Linked DNA regions of Nothobranchius furzeri. The protein of the gene in region 2 purifies or fractionates together with the protein of the main gene of each other region. This does not show direct contact. Links are inferred from orthologs where the notes say so. Each region holds a gene or a part of one and is shown on either strand. Other genes may lie near its edges. The genes, in order: cop1, protein c-Fos, ep300a and stk40.

Region 1 (4,860 bases), on a different chromosome or scaffold from region 2:
AACACTTTAAACGTTTTACTTTGACGACGTAAAAGCAAACAAATATCAGCAAAATACAAAGAAATTGACATGGTGGTCCTTTTCTGTGAAATCTACCAACTTTTCCATGCACCTTTCCTTTTGCTGGGAAAAAAAAGTTATTTCACAGCCCAACTGAGCTCCACTATGATAAACTTCTTCCGCAAACAAAAACATGGGAAAATCCATGTCTTGCATGCCTACGTAGACAACCCCCCTCGTGTTTGTCTAAGTAGAGGTAAAGGTGGAAAAACAAGTAGCAGGTTGAATAAACTGTGAGTGAATATTTTAGTGCTTCTTGTGTTTTATTTGCAGAGCTGCAGGTGGATGCCTGAAAGACACAACTCTGTGTATCTTGGCTTAATCACTGATTCTTGGAGTGACCAAGTAAAAGCAACTAAAATATGAGCCTCTGAATAAAATCTAGATTTGAAAGGATCAAAAAATGTAAAATGAAGTAAATATGGTTTTGTTGATATTAAATTTACAATTTAATATTTTAGGGGGGGAAATGGATGCATGGATATTTTAATCTTGCTTCTGCCTGCATTATGAATATCAACCTTGTTCTATATTCATGGTTATATGATATTACTAATTTAGTTTTAGAAAATGAAAACGGAAAACCTAAAGACGTATCAATGGAACTCATGAACACACACACACACATGTCTGTCTTTCTATCATAGTGAGGACTTTCCATTGACTTCCATTCATTTTTGTGACTCCACTATGCCTAACCCATACCCATACCCTACCCATAACCAATGCTGAGCTATTGCTAACCCTATAACAACTTAATTCACACCATATCTCTAAAACCCGCTGGTAAGCTTTTTTAAAAAATGAGGACCAGAAAAATGTCCTCACTTATAGGGAAAATTGTGAAAATGGTGTTCAGTAATTCCCCTCAAGAAATCACATCACTCATGTTCTTAAAAACCTACACTGGTTGCCAATAGGATCATATGCAAGATCCTACTACTTACATTTAAATCTGCATGGCTCCACTTTATCTATGTAATTTACTAACTATTGCTACCACTTCCCGATCTCTTAGATCCTCATCTGCACTTCATCTGGTTCAACCTCGAGCTCGCCTTACCACCATGGGGAGCAGAGCTTTCAGTTGCTCTGCTCCACGGCTCTGGGACTCACTTCCCTCTGTCATTAGAAATACGGACCCTTTTCCATTATTCAAGGGGCACACCTGAAAACCCACTTATTCAAACAAGTTTATTCCCTTTAGACCTAGACTTTAGAATTGTTTCAAAATTGTATGTATCTTGTTTGTTTTTATTGCCCTATCTAACCTCTGTTGTTTTTTGTTTTTATCTTTGTAAGGTTACCTTGGGTTTGAGAAAGGCGCCCTCAAATAAAATGTATTATTATTATTATTATTATTATTATTATTATTATTATTATTCAGTATGTAGTAAGTACTAGAAAACACACACACACACACACACACACACACACACGTGCGCGCGCGCGCGCCGTTGGCGAAATGCATCCTCTAATTGCACAAACTCCTCTCCGCTAGAGAGCGGTAATTGAAAACACGGGGCAAAGTGGGGATCCTTCTCTGCAGTTAACAGGAGAAGAAGAAGAAGCTAACGGGAACTAGCAGGCTAATCTCCACAACGCTGTCGTGGTTTTGTGATTCCCTGTTTCAGTATTCGTGTTTTTTTTCCCTCACATATTTTTGTGTTTTATAACTTGGTAACCTAACTATACCCAAGTGACAAGCGCCCGACAAACACCGGTGGACACGGTTTACAGTAGCTCTGTATGAGCACTTCTGCTTTTCTCCCAGGATACTAGCGTATCACCAAGGCAGCTAAGTCGGCTAAAGGAGCCCAACAACAGCGCTGTCCGGATGCTTTGAACAGCAACGGAGCCGATTTTTGGTGGAGTTTTCAAAGCCGGTCTTGCGTGATGTCAAGCAACCGGCCGCAGTCAAACAGTGGCGGGGCAAGTTCGGTGCCTAGCACCAGCAGCAGTAGCGCAGGAGGCAGCGGGAGCACCACCGTAACAAGTAATGGTAACTCTTCTGGGAACGTTGTACCCTCCCGGGCTATAGCAGCCGGCGAGAGCGGCTTGTCTGTACCAACTCTGTCCGCCGTTTCGTCCCGGGGCGAGTTCTCTTCCCTCAGCAGACCATCTTCAACCTCGGGAAGCAGGAAGAGATCCCTCCATCCAACACCTTTATACAACGGCCTGTTGGATTCATACGAAGATAAAAGCAATGACTTTGTCTGGTGAGCTCTCTGTCAGCTAACCGAGACTGTGCTGTGAAAGCTGAGTTTCTGATTCATATTTGTCTTTTCTTTTAGCCCAATTTGCTTTGAAATGATAGAGGGGGCGCACATGACAAAGTGTGGCCACAGTTTCTGGTGAGTGTGGAGCTGCAGCTCGGGTTGAATTGAATGAAACACCTTAGAAACACTATTCACTCACAGATAGTGGCTGTTATTCATGTTGTTTACAGTTAGGAGTCCGTTTGAACGGCGAATCTACTAGTTTTTAGTTATTAAAACTAACATTTTACATTCGTTTTCGCAAAAACTGTTAGTAAGGTGATTCTAATGAAATGCCCATCAAATAGATGGAATAGGTCAGTTTAAAACTAAATGAATGCAATCCTTATTTAACAAGTAAAGATCCTTGAGATTTAAAATGCCGTCTGCCAGAGTTACCTGGCCCAGACAGGCAGCGGCAGGTGATTGAATGTTTAAAAAATGTTGAAAAACCAGTTTGAATTCTGTCAGTGAGACATATTCTTTCAGATTGAGTCAGTTTTGGAGCTAATTCCTATAATAAAGGGCAGAATGTTTGAGTAGCTTAAAGGGGAACAAGTCGTGTCCACACCTTTGGTTTGTTTGGGGGGATCTGAGTATAATCGGAGAAAACCAAGAGTATTTTTTGAAGTGAGAAAACAAATACAATTATCAGTTGTATTGGAAAGGTCAGATTTTTTGCGGCAGACACTAGAGGGTGAGTTTTTTTTCATTCCGTGATTTTTAGAACAGACTTGTGTTTATTTCTGTGTTAAATGCTCCCCTTTCCCCTGTTGCAGTTTCAAGTGTATTCACAGGAGCTTGGAGGTCAGCAACAAGTGTCCCAAGTGTAACTGTATTATTGACAATGTGGCTCAGCTGTACCCCAACTTTCTAGGTGGGTGTTTTAAGTTGGATGGTTGTTTTTACAGTCATCATTTTGAGAATTTAGCTAGTTTCGTTTTAAAATAGGGTTGGGCATCGACTGGAACCGGGACCAACTGTTAGCTTTTTTTGGAATCGTTCAAAGTTTTTATTTTGATTCCTAGTAAGCCGACCGGAAGATGACACCAACACTCGTGTGTGTGTGAGCGTCAGAAGGCTGAACAATAACCTGTAAAGTCATCGTGCTAGAGCAGCTTTCTCTGTGGTGGACCACACCAGCTTCTGCCACAATAAATAATAATAATAAATCACATACAAAGTTGTGAAATTTCCTTTCTGAACTATTTCTGTTGAGAGTTTTAATGTTTAAATCTGTTAGATTGTTACTGACAGCAGCTGCATTTAAGTTTCACTTTCTGTTGTGACTGAATGCTGCTGCAGCATGGAGGTGTAGTTCTCAGTCATCCTGGACATGATCATCCTGAGAGTTTTAGCTGAAAACAGTTGCACGTTTCTGGATATGTTGGAGACATTTAGCCTCTCATCCCAGAGGCTGCTTCCAGACTTTGGTTGTGGTCAGAAACAAACACACTGGTTGTGCTGCAAGTCTTTTTCTTTTTTTCTCCAAAACATGTTTTGGTCTAAATGAAGGTGATGCTGTTGTTCATAGAATTAAAATTCATGTTGAAGTTAAGATTGTTTCATCAAGTAGGACCTGTGGTTAGCTGGCTCATGTAAAGCATGTCATGTCTTGAAAGAATCGGAATCGGGAATCAATAGGAACCAGAATCGTTCAAAATCAAACGATGCCCAACTCTAAAAATGTGATCAAGTCGGTGTTATCCTGCTCAAAGAAGGAGCTTATGTTGTTTCTCCTTGTCGCCCTCACTCTGCCTCTGCTGCCGTTTCCCAGTAAATGAGCTGATTCTTAAACAGAAACAACGGTCAGAGGAGAAGAGACTGAAATTAGATCATCCGGTGAGTGGTTCACATTTTATTCCTGCTTTGTCTTTTCCTTCTTTGTGACTCTCAAACTTGCAGACTTGTTTGTTTTAGAAAAATCTGTTTCTTCCTGCTGATCATTGTTTTCGACCCCTAGAACGGGCCGCAGTGGCAGGTCTTTCAGGATATTTTGAATCCGGATCAGGAGAACCTGGACCTTGCAAATGTCAATCTGATGTTGGAACTTCTGGTTCAGAAGAAGAAGCAGCTGGAAGCGGTAAGTCATTTTGTGCGTGTCTGCGAAGATGATTGTAAGAGTCATTTGTAGCCCATTCCTCGTTACCCTTAGCTAAGCAAGGAAGTGTGTTCCGAGTATAGAATTGGCACATGTGGCTGCAGAAATAATGTGCAGGCTTAGAATGAAATGCATAAAGGTTACTGCAGTAGAGGGAGAAGGTCAGATGTGAGGGTAGGAGATGTTCTCAGAAGAGTTGGGGCTTTAAGAGTTTCCTGGAGAGAGACATGGATGCCCCTGTTCTGGTTGAGTGACATGGGTCACGCCATCATCACGGAACGACACACCAAAAAAGTCAGAGTTGTCTTGAGTGTGACATCAGCACCCCTAGTCAATAACCCTCTAGTGACTGGAGTTTTGACATAAACTCCATTACCTGTTCTGTGATGAGACTTCTTGCATCCTGGATTAGATTAGGGCTGGACAATAATTCAATAACGA
Region 2 (4,823 bases):
AAATGGAAATCAGTGATATGTGAGGGCGTCAGCATCCCTGATAAAAAAAAATCAACATCAAAATCAGTCATGGAAATGTCCTATTGGTGAACTCCAGTTAAAATTCCTAAAAGAAACAAATCAGGATCATTGTTTACATTATTATTTTCAGTTAAACCAGAGGTTTCATCCTCAACCCATAAGGGGTCTTTGAGGTCAAATGTATAAAGTTACTTTTATAAAACACCCATTAGTACAATAAAAACTAGATATATCAGACATATCTATAGTTTATATAGAGATATATGTCTATGTGTGCATGACGAAGTTTGTAATTAATCACTTTTAATGTGCAGGTAGGAGTTGGGGTTGGGCATCCTCACAAGAGGCAAGTCTTTTGTAATTTTATCAAGAGTAAAGTTACTTATATCACAAAAGAGATGCATTTATAGAAATGAGCATTGTCTCCTGCATTAAGTGCATATTGTTGTCTATTTCTGAGACGAGCGTGCTCTTCGTGCGTCTGGCTGCGTTTAGAGACGCATCTTGACGCATTCAGACCTTCCTTTGCAGAACCAAACACAGCTTTGTGGTTGAAGCGTTGCTGTCTGGTGATTTCGTCTGCAGAAGCTGTCGTAGCCAGTAGAGACGTGAGAAACAATGTGGCCTGGATTGCGGAATAAAGGCAACAGCTTTTCTTTCCGTCTTCCGGCGAACATGCCAGCAGCTGCTCTCGGCTCAGAGGAAACCTTTGGTGCGCTTTTGTGTCCGACCCATCGGGTCCGACCGTCCGTTCTGGTTCTGCTCACAGACTGCAACAGCGACTCCCCGTATTTGGGCACGGAAGTAACGCAACAGCGCATAATTTGCAAATTGAAAAAAAAAGAAGGAAAAAACGCACTGACGTCACAGCCCTGACGTACAGCAGACCTTGGCAACAGACGGAACAATAAATAGAGCAGGAAGGAGCAGGAAAAATACCGCTATCCCTGTTCAGGCCGATTTGGGGCATTATCATAACGTCCTTTGACACGTGGGCGGAAATACTTGATAAAATAAATAATATTAAAAGTCCAACAAACAAAAGAAGTGAATTTAAATATCGCTAAATTTTATTCACATATATAACAACATTTTTATACTTTGTAAAAAAATAAAACTCTCATAAATTAAAAGCACAAATGTTTTCACAGAAAACTTCATATTTTAAAGACCACTCAGACCATGGTTAAGACAAAATCACACCTGTCTTTTTATCACAAACATGTCATAATTACTCTAGTTTAACAGAAAATAAATAAGTATTGCTCTTAAAACACATCAGTAAACAATACGTTTAGTTATCTAGCACCATATAATCAGAGGAACTCATAGAACGACTATTGTTTGAAACATGCTTATTAACTTGCTACATGGTGTAATAGGCAAGTATATTTGTATATAAAGGCAGATAAAATCATTAAGAATTATGCTTCCATGTACAAGTCTGTGCTATTGCCCTTTGATGTGCACGTATATCTGAGGAGAATGTGCTTGTTAAGGAAGAACGATGTATCCAGGAAGAGTCCTTAAAGGGCCAGCAGGGTTGGGGAGTTGAGCGAGTCGGAGGACTGGTCGTTGCTGCTGCTTCCTCTCCTGTGAGCGACGCCACAAGAGGGGAAGGTCTCAGCCTCTGGGAAGGTAAACATGAATGAAGACGTGTGGGTGGTGCATGCTGGAGTGCAGGTCACGACAGGTGTGCACAGAGGCTCAAAGTCAGCATTATTGGCTGAGCTGTGGAGGGGCTCCCAGTCCTGACTTGTGTAAAGGGAGCTGGGCAGGTCGACCTCGGGGACTGAACGAGCCGTCTCCATCTCCGTCTTTGCCAGCAGGTCGAGAGACTCCTCCAGGACAGACGAGTCCAGGTCGGTCATCTTGACTGTGCTGTTGGAAATGGTTGTGGTGGAGAGGATGGGGGTGCTGCTGGAGAAGAGGGAATTGGAGGCTGAGGTGAAAGTTGGCTGACTAGAAGTGACGGCGGACTTTACAGGCTGGGAAGAGGGGATGGAGGAGTGGACAGGAGAGATGGAAGACAGGTGGAAGTCTGTGTCCAGCTCTGAGGGGATTTTGCAGATTGGCTGGTGGGCGGCCAGAATGAACTCAAGCCTCTCCTTCTCCTTCAGCAGGTTGGCAATGTCATTCTGCAGGACAGACTTCTCATCCTCCAGCTGATCAGTTTCCTGCCAGGGGAAGGAGGGGAAAAGAGGCATTTAGTCGGCTGCTGGAATGCACTGCTATTAGCTCTGGCAGTGAAAACATTCTGATAAGTGAAAGCAAAGTCTGGCGGGATACTTACAGCTTGGAGGGTGTCTGTAAGCTCTCGCCTCCTGTTGCGGCATTTAGCTGCTGCCTGCTTGTTTCTCTCTCTGCGAATTCTTCTTTTCTCCTCCTCCTCAATGCTCAACTGCACATCATAGAAGCAACAGAAAAGTTAACATCCCTGCTCCGTAATGCACTTTTGAGTTAATCCATAATATTGCAGAGGATAATCACCTGTTCCACTCTGCCTCTCTTGGAAACCTTGGATGCAGACTTCATAGCTGTGCTGGTGTAGGCTGGGCTGGGGCTGCTGGAGCTGTAGGGGTGAGCTCTGTGAGAGGGGGCCACGGAGGAGACCAGAGGCTGCACCATCCACTGCAGATCAGGGCTTGTGGAGATGGCTGTGACTGTGGGTATGAAGGAGGCACTTGATGCTGTCAGTTCAGTATAATCCTGCAGGGAAGAAGTGAAAGGTGGTTTAGTTTGAGGAGGGGGTTGCAGCAGCATATTGCTATAAAAAACTGGACAATTTAAAAATATCCCTATGATGTCAGCTGTGACGTTACATGCTCTCTATGGAGTTTCCAGGTGAATGCATGAAAATGGCATGATTGAATCACTAACTGCCCCTTTATTTCACAACATTTCTGTCACCCACGAACTTTTAAAAAAAAATTATTTTAAGTCATTATGGGAAAAAAATAACATAAATGGCGTATTTACCTGAGATTGTGGAGATTCTATGCTGGAATAAGACCCCGCCGGTGACGGGTAGTATCCAGGATTGTCCCCGCACGGGGACGCGGTGCTGCACCGGGAGGAAGAGTCGCACTCCGTGTTGAAAGCGGTGAACATCATCCTTTCAAAGCGCTAAAAAGAAGCTCGGGAGATCCAAACAAACTACTTCAGGGGAATGTAAACGGGAGACGAGGAAATCCCTTTTGCAGGTTTGGAAGCGCTCCTGTGGATCGTACTCCTTTAGTCGCTGCTCTGCTGCTCAAACTTCATCTGCCAACTCCGGCATCTCGGAGCGGTTTTATACACCAGGCCGTGACGTCGACTGGGGGCGTGTCTTCAACCTGAAACCGGCAGGAGGAAACCATAAACACTAGCATAACAACGCAGCCAAAAACCCAACACGCTAAATACGACAAGCTTATCACCAAGAAGCGTGTTGTCAACCTCTCTACGACGAGAACGTGTCTGTTTTTAAAGCCAGCGACCAATAAGTGGAATATTCCAGATCAAGGAATCCCCGATACGTAGTTTACCATATATGGTGCATCCTCCTGCGAGGTGGGCGGATCTTGATGGGAAACACCATCTGAGCGTCTGAGCGGCAGCAGCCTGGCGTTATGTAAAACTACAAACACAGAGGCTGTTGTGAGTAAACTACAATCATAGCTAACGGAATAGTTTTCACTACAAGTAGAAAAAGCAGATTTTTAGTTTGGTTCAAAACTAAAATAACCACAATCCATGTTTTCATAAGCAACCCATCTAAAATATATATATATATATATATATATATATATATATATATATATATATATATATATATATATATATATAAACATGATCTACTATCAGAAAGCACGTGCAGCTTTCTTCACATCACTTTTTTGCTAAAAATCTGTGAAGTTAAACATAATCAAATATTTGAAAATCATTCTGAGCAGTTTTATACTTTCTAAATGTGCTAACAAGTGATTGTACAGTGTTTGCTATCAAATGTTGTGTTAACATCTCAAAGAGCTGTTTTGGATTTTGGAAGAGGGTAAAATACCCAATAAATTGTTTAAAAAAGAGCCTAATTATCTTGCAGGAACGGATTTTTATTAAAGAAATATTTCATTTCCTGAGGTTGTTCAAAAGTGCCAAGCCTATGGGTGGAAGGCTAAAGAGGGCTAAACATACGTCAAAGGAAGTTTAGGTGTGTGTGTGTGTGTGTGTGTGTGTGCGTGCGTGCGTGCGTGTGTGTGTGTGTGTGTGTGTGCTTTCATCGAAAGCAGACTGCACCTGTAAAGAGGGAATCCTCAAGTATCTCGCTTTTTGACACCTGGCAACGTGCAGAGCTGAACCGAGTCACCACCCAGACCAAATTTTAAGTTTATTGTTCATCATAATTTGTAAAAATGTATTTTTCTTCACATAAATACCACAGTTTTTTCCTGCGTTTCAGAACGGGGATGTGAGGATTTTTGCTCTAAACAAATGAGATTTTGCCTTTAATTCCAAATGAAATCATTAATTCCTATTTTAGCATTAGAAATGACATTTTAAGTGCAAAAATATTCACATTATGTAAAAACCACAACAGAAATAACTGACTTTCAATGTATTGAAAATATAAAACTATTATTAATCTGAAATGTCATTAATAACGAGTTCAAAACGGTGTTATTGTGTCAAACAGCAGCAGATTAGTTTCGTTTACCGCGCTCATGTTTTGGTGCACATTCCTGGTTGCCCTAGCAACGGCCAACCCCTTGACGTGAACATTTTTGCATGTGGCCGCAAAGATCATTGGTTTTTGCCAGAGTTAC
Region 3 (4,325 bases), on a different chromosome or scaffold from region 2:
CACTTGTTCTCCTGACAGTGCTTAGCATGGTAACAACACAGTGCAATGAGCTGCTTGCAAATGGGACAGCCGCCGTTGGTTTTTCTCTTGCAACCTTTTGTGTGCTGAACGACACGCTTCATCTTCTGACATGATGGCAGAGAGCAGTTTGCGTTCCTGCACTGGCACGCGTGGACCAGAGACTGGATGCAGCGCTGGATGCTTAGGCGACGTGAGTCTCCGGGGCTCTGAGTGGTCGCAGCAGCCTGGTTGCTGCTTTCATCGTCCAAACCGAGCCCTAGCTTGTCCATCTTGTGCTCGTGGCCCTTAGTGTTGTAGCACGTGATGCAGAGGTCGTAATCCTGCAACAGAGGGGCATGAGCAGCAGAGTAAGTCTGATGAAAGTACGACAATGTTTACAACCAGCTCTGAGACATCACAGACAGACTTACCTCACAAACGGTACAGTGGAAGCGAGTCTCCACATGGTGCTTGCATTCATTGCAGGTGTAAACAAAGCGGTCCTGACTTTGGTTATGCAGCTCCACCAGCATGCACATGGAGCTCCACTTAGCCCGCCTCAGAGAGCTGAACTCCAGGTGTTTGTCCCGGGCCAGAGTCAAAAAAGCATCACGACCATCCATGAGGTCACACGCCATCAGGGGATCTGGGTCGATAATTGGGGGCAAGGCATTCGCCATGGGGCCGGCAATTAGCCGGATCACAAAGAACACCTAGAGGAGGAAGACAAAGGCAGAGCAGACAGTTGACCTTTTAAATGGAGTTATGCAAGAACAAGTGTATAAATACAGGCTTATTCTATTTTCTCTCTTTTGCTTTAAATACTTCAGATCAGCAAATAATTCAGTATCGGACTAAACGCGATGAACATCCAACACTGGTATAGGGTTGGGCATCTAGCATCGATTGGAACCAGGAGTAACTGTCAGTTGTTCCCAGAATTGTTCAAATTTTGTCATTTCAATTCTGTTTCAATTCCCAGTCCCAGACCAGAAGAAGAATCTGAGGCTGATTTTCGTAAAAAAAATAACGTGATCTGAAAAATCTGATCAACGCCTTTCAGAGCCGATCATACCACGTCTGTCGCTCCTACTTTGCAGCCTGCAGAGACCCGGTTTTAAAGAACAAACTCTGGGCAAAGTGAGGCGAGTTTTTAAGGCTCACCGCAGAAATAAAAACACACACAGCAACAGCAGTCAAACACAGCGTGGACTGGAAATGGAATCTAGGAATCAAAATTTTAAAATTTGAACGATTCCAGGAAAAACTGATAGCCTTCATTCCGATCAATGTCCAACCCTACTCTTGAAAGAATCAGAATCGGGAATCGATAGGAACCGGAATCGAAACGAGGAACCGGAATTGTTCAAATTCAAATCATTCCCAACCCTACATTTGTAAAGCGCCTTTCTGAGTCTGAGAACTCCAAAGCGCTCCATACATTTACACGCTGGTGCTCTGATGGAGACGAGGCAGATGCCACCAATTCCTCTGACCACCAGCAGGCAAGGAGGGTTAAGTATCTTGCTCATGGATACAACATCTGTTGCTCTATATCAACATCTGTCTTCTCCATCCCCAGTGAGTCGTGGAGGATGGCTGCTTATACAGAGCCAGGATCCTCTGGAGGTTTCCTCCTGTTAAAAGGGAGTTTTCCTCTCCACTGTCGCTAAACGCTTGCTTAGTATGAGGATTGCTGTAAAGTCACTGACACCAGTTAGCCACTTGATGCAATTTGCTGGGTTCCTTATATAGGAAACATTATTTCTGATTGGCTTAATGAACTGACCTGTACTGGAATGTTTACCATGTGAAGTGCCCTGAGACGACTCTTGTCGTGATTTGGCGCTACATAAATAAACTTGAATTGAACATAACTGAGAGCCTGGGTTTGAACCTGCAACCTTCTGATTACAGGGAAAACTACAAACTAAATGTGTTTGCTGCTCTGAAACATTTAGGACACAAAGAAAAAAGCAGAACCAGGAGACATCTTGTGCATATTCCTCTGCTCCTACCTCTTTGTGTTTTTCCATAGTAGCATAAAGTTTCTGAGAAAGGTCATTAGAGACGTTGGGCATCCCCGGCTTCTTCTTATTAGATCTGCTCAAGCTGCCCTTGTTCTTACTCGTCTTTTTGTTGTTCTTCTTCTTAGCATTTTTGCTGTCACTCTTTGTGTCCTGCACATAAAAGTGTTTTGGGGAAAAAAAGAAAATAAATCAGTGATCGTCTAAACAACAAGCTACAGTGCCAGCCTTATTTTTAGGCCGTTCTTAAGTATAAAACACACGTAGGATCAGAGGTGATGAACAAGGACTCAGTCTTACATCAATGCTCTCGTTAGAAGTGCTGTTTTCTTCCCTTTTCCTCTCCTCCTCCTCCTGCTCCAGCTCTTTAATGCTCTCCTCCAGCACGTTGGGCCAGAAGTCACCCTCAAAGTAAGGCAATTCCTTGGCACTTGTTAAACGATCCTCCGTCGCTTGTTTGAAGATATCCTTTCAGGGTGAGTACAGAGGTAAATTAGGGTTTTGCACTAATCAAGAGTCATTTTAAGCATGGTTAATAAACGCTGCTAAAAAAGAGCATTTACCTTGTAGTCGTGCACGATCCTCTCAGCCACAGCCTTGTCTAACATCTTCTTGTACCACTCCTGAAGGCGTTTGGGTTTGGGAATTTTCTGATCTGCTGGATGGCAGTGAAAGATGTAGTCATCACCCTCGCTGGGTGGGCAAGCCCAGATGTGACCAGTGGTGTAGCTAAGGACACAGAAAAGGGACCAAAACGTATTTACTAACGAGAAAATGAGACGTCTAAATGAAAACATTACTATAATTTTCCCAGCCGGAGAAGTGCTGAACACTAGTCTGGTCTCAGGACTCACCCCAACTTCTTGGCGTACTCCAAGTAGCCAATGAGGATTTCATGGTAAACTGCTGTTCTTAGACTGCGAGGCCGGAAAAAGTGTACACTGTCCAGGTAGGAAATGTATACTCGCCTGAGAGGACAGAACAAAGGGTTCAAGGCTAATAAACTGTTGCTTATGTATATTTAAAGAGGAGAAGCTGCAGTGTTTTTGTTTGAAAAGCCCGTCATGTTTACCGCTGGTTGGGCTGAGGGCAGTCTGATCCGTACTCCTGGACATGCATCCCAAAAAAGCAAACATCCACGCCGTCAATGTCTTCAAATGCAAAAAGTGCCTTTGTCCTGTAGGGGAAAGACTCGGACATCTCTCCGCTGTCCACAAACCTGGAGACAAAAGCATCAATAACCTTAAAATCCAAACAAGAACAGTTGTGGGAGGTTAAACTGTCCATGTGTCTTTTGTTTCCTACCTGGACTTCATGCCTGGTTTCACCTCCACCACTTTATCCGAGACATGGACAACACGAATGAAGACCTCTCCAGAGTCTGGAAGGGCCTGACGCTTCAGGAAGTCGTTCACCCTCGTCTCCAGAAAACTCCCCAGCCTCGTCTGAGGCAACCCTGTGAGACAGTTAGTCAACAACTGTAAGAACAGCTAGCTTTGTTGCTAGCATTAACAACCTGTCCATCTGGAAAAATTTACTTCCTGAATCATAATTTTCTAGTAAATCAAATTTTACAAAAGGAGAAGGTTTTCAGTTCTTGGTTAAATCTGTGTCAGCAGGACAGGCCTGTACAGGAATCAGTCCTTTTGTGTGACAGATACATTTATCTCAAAATATCTCCTAAACATTCGGGGGGTGGGGGGTGGGGGGGGTGGGGGGTGGGGGGCTCTGCATGTGTGTTTCTGTACATTTGAAAACAGTTCTTACCTTCAGATTGCCTCCTTGCATTATTAGAGCAATAGCCTTTAAGGTTTACATGGCATGATGTCATTTCCTGCCATATTTGTTAATGTTACTGTACATTGTGAAAGTGCTGGACCTCAATTTGAAGAAAATCATGAATCAAATAGAAATTGCAATTTCTGCCAGAAAACTTGCAATTCGATCTTTACCTAAAATTGATCACGTGTTAATGCTCCCGATCCGATTCAGAGTCATTTGATTTTGAGAATCTGCCGATACCAAGTCATGATCAGATTATTTAGAAATGCATAAAGAAAAAAAAGACACTAGAGTTGTCCTTTAAGTTTTTTAATCATTAATGCGTTTCTTTCTTTCTGTATTTGTCTTTTGTTTTATTTGCTATAAAACATCACTTGTTTAGGAAGCACATTAATAAGAAACACGTTAATATTAAGAATAAAAGTAAAAGAAGCCTTGCCACTCATATTTTAAATCCTTTAATCCTTTATATTTCAGCGACAGGGATGGCTCGACACATGACGGTCAGCAGCAGAG
Region 4 (4,325 bases), on a different chromosome or scaffold from region 2:
CTTCATCATCGTCTTGGCCGTTTGTCGGCTTTTAGTAACGTTTGCTTTTCTGCAAGTGTGCTCATGACGTTAGCGTGTCCTGCTAGAGCGAGACATCGTGCAGTTTGGTTCGGTGTCATCTTGGACCGTGCACTGTGCCTCGTGGCGTGAAACAGTCATGTGCAACAGCTGAAAAGCACAGTGTGCCCCGGGCTTCACCACCCAAATGGTGATTTTGGAGAGGACGTCCAGGTGAACGGCTTTCCTTTCCTTCTTTATCCTCTCACCCTACTTTAGAGCCCCCCCGAGTTGTTAGAAAAGCATCAGATGATCCTAGTAAAGATGCTTCCAGGCTCACATTCTGCTGTGAAAGACGGGCAATAAAACGAACACCAAAGAAAGGTCAAAGGTTCGAGGATCTTCTGAGACATTACTGCTTTGACTCTGCATCGCCTGTTGAGGTTTAAGCGACTGTGTGAACAAAAGTGAAACAGCGATCGCAGCAAAGAACGCACAGACTCCGACAGACTTACTTTCAGCTGATAGAAGTCGTCTGTGCCGTCTTTTCTGGCCAAACACTGAACTATGCTCGGCACCGGTGAGTTGCCCAGGCGAGGTCCTGCAAGGGTAAGGAAAAGAACAGCTGTGTAAGCAAAAGAGCATGTGCTCTCACTGTAACTCATTAAGGGCTCCATGTGCGTGTGCCCATCAACACCCAACGTGTAACGTTGCCTTTGGCACCAAATGCTGCAAATAGCTTAGGCACAGAAAAACAAACAGGCAACGAGAAAGAATGGAGGAAGAAAAGTTGTTCCAACTCAGACTTGGGCCTTTCTGGCCAATGTCATGGGGATCAGCAAAATTCCTCAAATTCTTGTCCCAGGCGGGAGTAGGTAAGCCCTCCGCAGCTCACAGTTCTCCCGAGTTTTCTGCAAATAAATGCTGCCACTTCTTCTGAACACTTTGGGTAAAACGTGGTAATAAAATCCCATACCAAGGATGAAGGGGCCAGCTCTCTTGGCATTACTGCCATTTATCCCGGGACACTGCAGCTGGCTGGCCCTCGACGTCTCTCCAGCTCCCCTCTCTGACGAGCGCCGCTTGGACATCCTGGAGCTCTACGAGGAAACAAATCTGATTAGTTTGTGGGCTAAAGATAGTCAAGTAAGAGGGAAAACACACACCTGGTGGTAAAGACACATTCTAAAAGGTAGATCGTAACACTTTGTGTCATAAAGTCTAGAATCTAGACGGTAATTTAAGAAAAACGGCATTAATGAAGAATTAAGAGCGAACGTAGAGCTTCAGCAGAGGTCACGCAGGCTGGTCATGAGTAAAGAGAGTTCAGGGCAGCTCCTGCCCCCTCCACACACATTTACACACCTCAATGCTAAAGCAAACCCATTAAGGTTCCATTTAAAATAATGGCGGTTGGTGTCAAGGGCAACACCTCAGATTCAATCTCCATAAAAGCACAAAACGAGCCAAACAGAAGTCTTCATGGTTGGTCTCTTTAATCCTGCAGCGGTGGACTTGGGTTTAGAAAATCCCTGGATTTTTAATCTGCACAGCCGGCTTATCTATACAGACCTCACTTTAAAAGGGAGTGCATGTTTTACCAAGGCAGAAATGTAAAATATAAAAGAAAAGCCACCAGGTTTGTGGGCAGGGCGATAAGGAAGCAGGGTTGTGCATGCCAGTGAGTGTGACACATCGCTGTTAAGCTACTTTAACCGACCGAGCCGATCTCCTTTACCTTCCTGAAGCCAGCGAGTGAGAGGTGTGCATTCTTTTCAGCTGATACCGAACGTCTGTGTGATGAAACACCATCTGTTTCTCGTAATGAGGAAGTAGAGCCACACATCGAGAGGAATGAGCCACCCTGCAGTCATCCCAAGTTTTCACTGGATGGAAATATTTAAATGTCTGGGTGACAACCAATCAAGGTGTCTCCAAACCTCTAACATGTGCGAGTATCTGGTGATGCCATTTGTATAACGTTACAGGGGAGGCGGTACGACATATTGACCCTTTGCACGTGACATCAGGCTGCTCTTCATGGGACCACCCCCTTAAACATGGCGGACAGTAAAAAGACTGTTCACACATGTTGAAACTTCATTGAAGCTAGTCAAAACAAACCAGTTTGTGGCTTTTATTGCTTTCATTTAGTTGTTTTCACAGTAAAATGGTAATAGCTGCTGTGCAGTTGGCAGAACTAGCAGACAAAGTCGGCCCACAAGTGAACTGGGCTTGAACTAGATGAAGCCATACTAAACATTGTTTTGCTCACTGTTTACTGTGCCTTTGCCATCTGATATGGCAGACCCATGTGATCAGGTGACGTTGGAGAAAAAGGATACTGAAAGCCATGAGATATTTGAGGCTGGACTTAATCGGAATATCAGGCCAGATGCTTCCAAGATAGCCTGGCCTGCTAGACTCGTCCTCTGTTTAAATCTGCACAGAGAAGAGAGTCTGGTAACTCACAGGCAGAGAGGCGCATGAGGGGCGGGACTAGGCAGCTCAAAAGTAACCAATCAGAAAAAAAGACTGAAATCCCGACCATATCGCACGGCGCTGTAGTTTTCTAGCTGTAGTAAAAAAAAAAACAGCGTCTAACAACGGTGCAAACATCTTTTATTTCTTTTTAGAAGAAAGGCTTTTAGCGCCTCTAATTGTGGTTTTAGAGACATTCAAGTCATTTAGAACAGAGGAAAGAGCTGCAGCGAACTCCGCTGCTGTCTTTATTGTTTATGAGGAACTGAGCGTCGCTGTGTGTGACGTCCGGGACCCTGTAGTTGTTTAGCTGTAGTTAAAATGGAGTCTGGGGACAGCGCAAACATCTTTCTTTAGAAGAAAGACTTTTAGCGCGTCTACTTGTTGTGTCCAAGTCATTGAGAACAGGGGAAAGAGGCGCAGCGAACTCCGCTTCAGTCGCCATGTTCGACAAACTCGGCGTTATGGTGTGTGTCGTATGCTACTCAGTGTTGATTGGCTCGGTTAGAATTCTCACGAGGTGGGGTTATTTGAACAGGAGAGTTGCCAGACCCTTTCTCTGTGCAGAATTAAACAGAGGAGGAGTCTGGCAGGCCAGGCTACTTCCAAGACACATCCAGAGTTATCGTGAGATCTCGTGGTTCCGTCACAATGAAAGCAGTCAGAACCGCTGCCACCTAGCAGTCGGAGTTTGAATTATACCAAACAAAAGAAACACAGTAAATAAGGGCATGTATATTCTCCGTTAGAAAACAAACACAGTGCTTTTAAATTTTGCTTTGGTATCATAACACAATATCGTTAACTCATTCACTGCCAGCCGTTTCCTGATCGCTAACGGCCTTCGCTGCCAGCGTTTCTCACCGTTTTACTGTTTTTTTAAGAGTCACAGAACGTTGCGTGCTAGCATGATGTCAACGCCAAAACAACCAAAACAAAGCGGAGACTAGGGCTGTCGCGGTTGAGGAATTCCCCCTGCAGTGAGTCAGGGCAGCTCAATATTGCGGTATGCGATATTATTGCACCCCGTTTTTATTTATGTACTTAGCAAATTTGTTTGTTAATTACTAAACTCATGGCAATATTTCCTTTGAAACATTGTGCTTACACATTTAAAAAATGTTAGAAAAAATACATGGCCATTTTTGACACTTTATTAAATGCAGATCGAAGGGCAGTAACGGCATTCTCTGACTGAACTTAAAAACAACATTCAGGAGGTTTAACTTTGAAATGCAAATTTGGCTTCAACATCTAACAAAATGAGATGTCCCAGGCACAGTCAGTTCACTTTCACACACAAGAATAACGCCGGGGACACACCGGCCGCGGAAGCGCCGAGAAGCGAATCGCTCACGAAATTCGTTCGCTGCTCGCCGTTTCTCAGTTCAGATCAGACGCTTAGAATAGCTTAACAAGGGCACCGAATGAAGGCGGTCCCATTTTCGCGGCGCTTCCGCGGCCGGTGTGTCCCCGGCGTAACTGTGATTTATAACTCGGTCATGTCCTTGTTACGCGCAAGGACCACCAGCATGTTAACCTTATGCGGTTTGAGAGAGGATCTGAGAGTGGTGACAACATTTCCAGCGACACTAAAAACCCTCTCGGATGGTGCGCTTGTTGCGCAAATACACATGTACTTACATGCGACTTTGGAGAGCAATGGAAATCTCTCGTGGTTGTTGCGCCACCATGTCAGAGGGTTTTCATTAGGGTCAATGGGTTCCTCCTGCAGGTAGCGAGTGAGCTCCAGCTCGGCTCTAACTCTCTTCGGGACAGTTGCAGAAGACGTCCTTGTCCGTGACTTCAGCAGGTCTCTAAGCGTTTTTTTCTTTGCCGCTGGTGGC

Evidence for each region.
Region 1: the proteins of protein c-Fos (region 2) and cop1 purify together in Homo sapiens (affinity purification with mass spectrometry; 4 studies listed by BioGRID and IntAct, counting the BioPlex papers as one, with this or other methods). This does not show direct contact. The link is inferred for Nothobranchius furzeri from reciprocal best matches to the Homo sapiens genes FOS and COP1.
Region 3: the proteins of protein c-Fos (region 2) and ep300a purify together in Homo sapiens (affinity purification with western blotting; 3 studies listed by BioGRID and IntAct, with this or other methods). This does not show direct contact. The link is inferred for Nothobranchius furzeri from reciprocal best matches to the Homo sapiens genes FOS and EP300.
Region 4: the proteins of protein c-Fos (region 2) and stk40 purify together in Homo sapiens (affinity purification with mass spectrometry; 3 studies listed by BioGRID and IntAct, counting the BioPlex papers as one, with this or other methods). This does not show direct contact. The link is inferred for Nothobranchius furzeri from reciprocal best matches to the Homo sapiens genes FOS and STK40.

Annotation. Positions count from the first base shown.
Region 1 is NC_091751.1:60,897,234-60,902,093, forward strand, and holds the start of cop1 (E3 ubiquitin-protein ligase COP1), read left to right. Parts: upstream 1-1,723; 5' UTR 1,724-1,956; coding exon 1,957-2,279; intron 2,280-2,354; coding exon 2,355-2,414; intron 2,415-3,097; coding exon 3,098-3,195; intron 3,196-4,095; coding exon 4,096-4,160; intron 4,161-4,281; coding exon 4,282-4,401; intron 4,402-4,860. UniProt on the Homo sapiens protein: E3 ubiquitin-protein ligase that mediates ubiquitination and subsequent proteasomal degradation of target proteins.
Region 2 is NC_091742.1:2,309,265-2,314,087, reverse strand, and holds protein c-Fos, read right to left. Parts: upstream 3,285-4,823; 5' UTR 3,136-3,284; coding exon 3,001-3,135; intron 2,731-3,000; coding exon 2,512-2,730; intron 2,423-2,511; coding exon 2,315-2,422; intron 2,199-2,314; coding exon 1,548-2,198; 3' UTR 1,070-1,547; downstream 1-1,069. UniProt on the Homo sapiens protein: Nuclear phosphoprotein which forms a tight but non-covalently linked complex with the JUN/AP-1 transcription factor. In the heterodimer, FOS and JUN/AP-1 basic regions each seems to interact with symmetrical DNA half sites.
Region 3 is NC_091756.1:27,956,393-27,960,717, forward strand, and holds part of ep300a (histone acetyltransferase p300), read right to left. Parts: intron 3,484-4,325; coding exon 3,333-3,483; intron 3,247-3,332; coding exon 3,100-3,246; intron 2,996-3,099; coding exon 2,882-2,995; intron 2,757-2,881; coding exon 2,591-2,756; intron 2,496-2,590; coding exon 2,328-2,495; intron 2,181-2,327; coding exon 2,019-2,180; intron 714-2,018; coding exon 432-713; intron 342-431; coding exon 1-341. UniProt on the Homo sapiens protein: Functions as a histone acetyltransferase and regulates transcription via chromatin remodeling. Acetylates all four core histones in nucleosomes. Histone acetylation gives an epigenetic tag for transcriptional activation.
Region 4 is NC_091745.1:70,998,672-71,002,996, forward strand, and holds part of stk40 (serine/threonine-protein kinase 40), read right to left. Parts: intron 4,245-4,325; exon of another isoform or gene 4,123-4,244; intron 2,048-4,122; exon of another isoform or gene 1,844-2,047; coding exon of another isoform or gene 1,736-1,843; intron 1,098-1,735; coding exon 974-1,097; intron 599-973; coding exon 513-598; intron 1-512. UniProt on the Homo sapiens protein: May be a negative regulator of NF-kappa-B and p53-mediated gene transcription.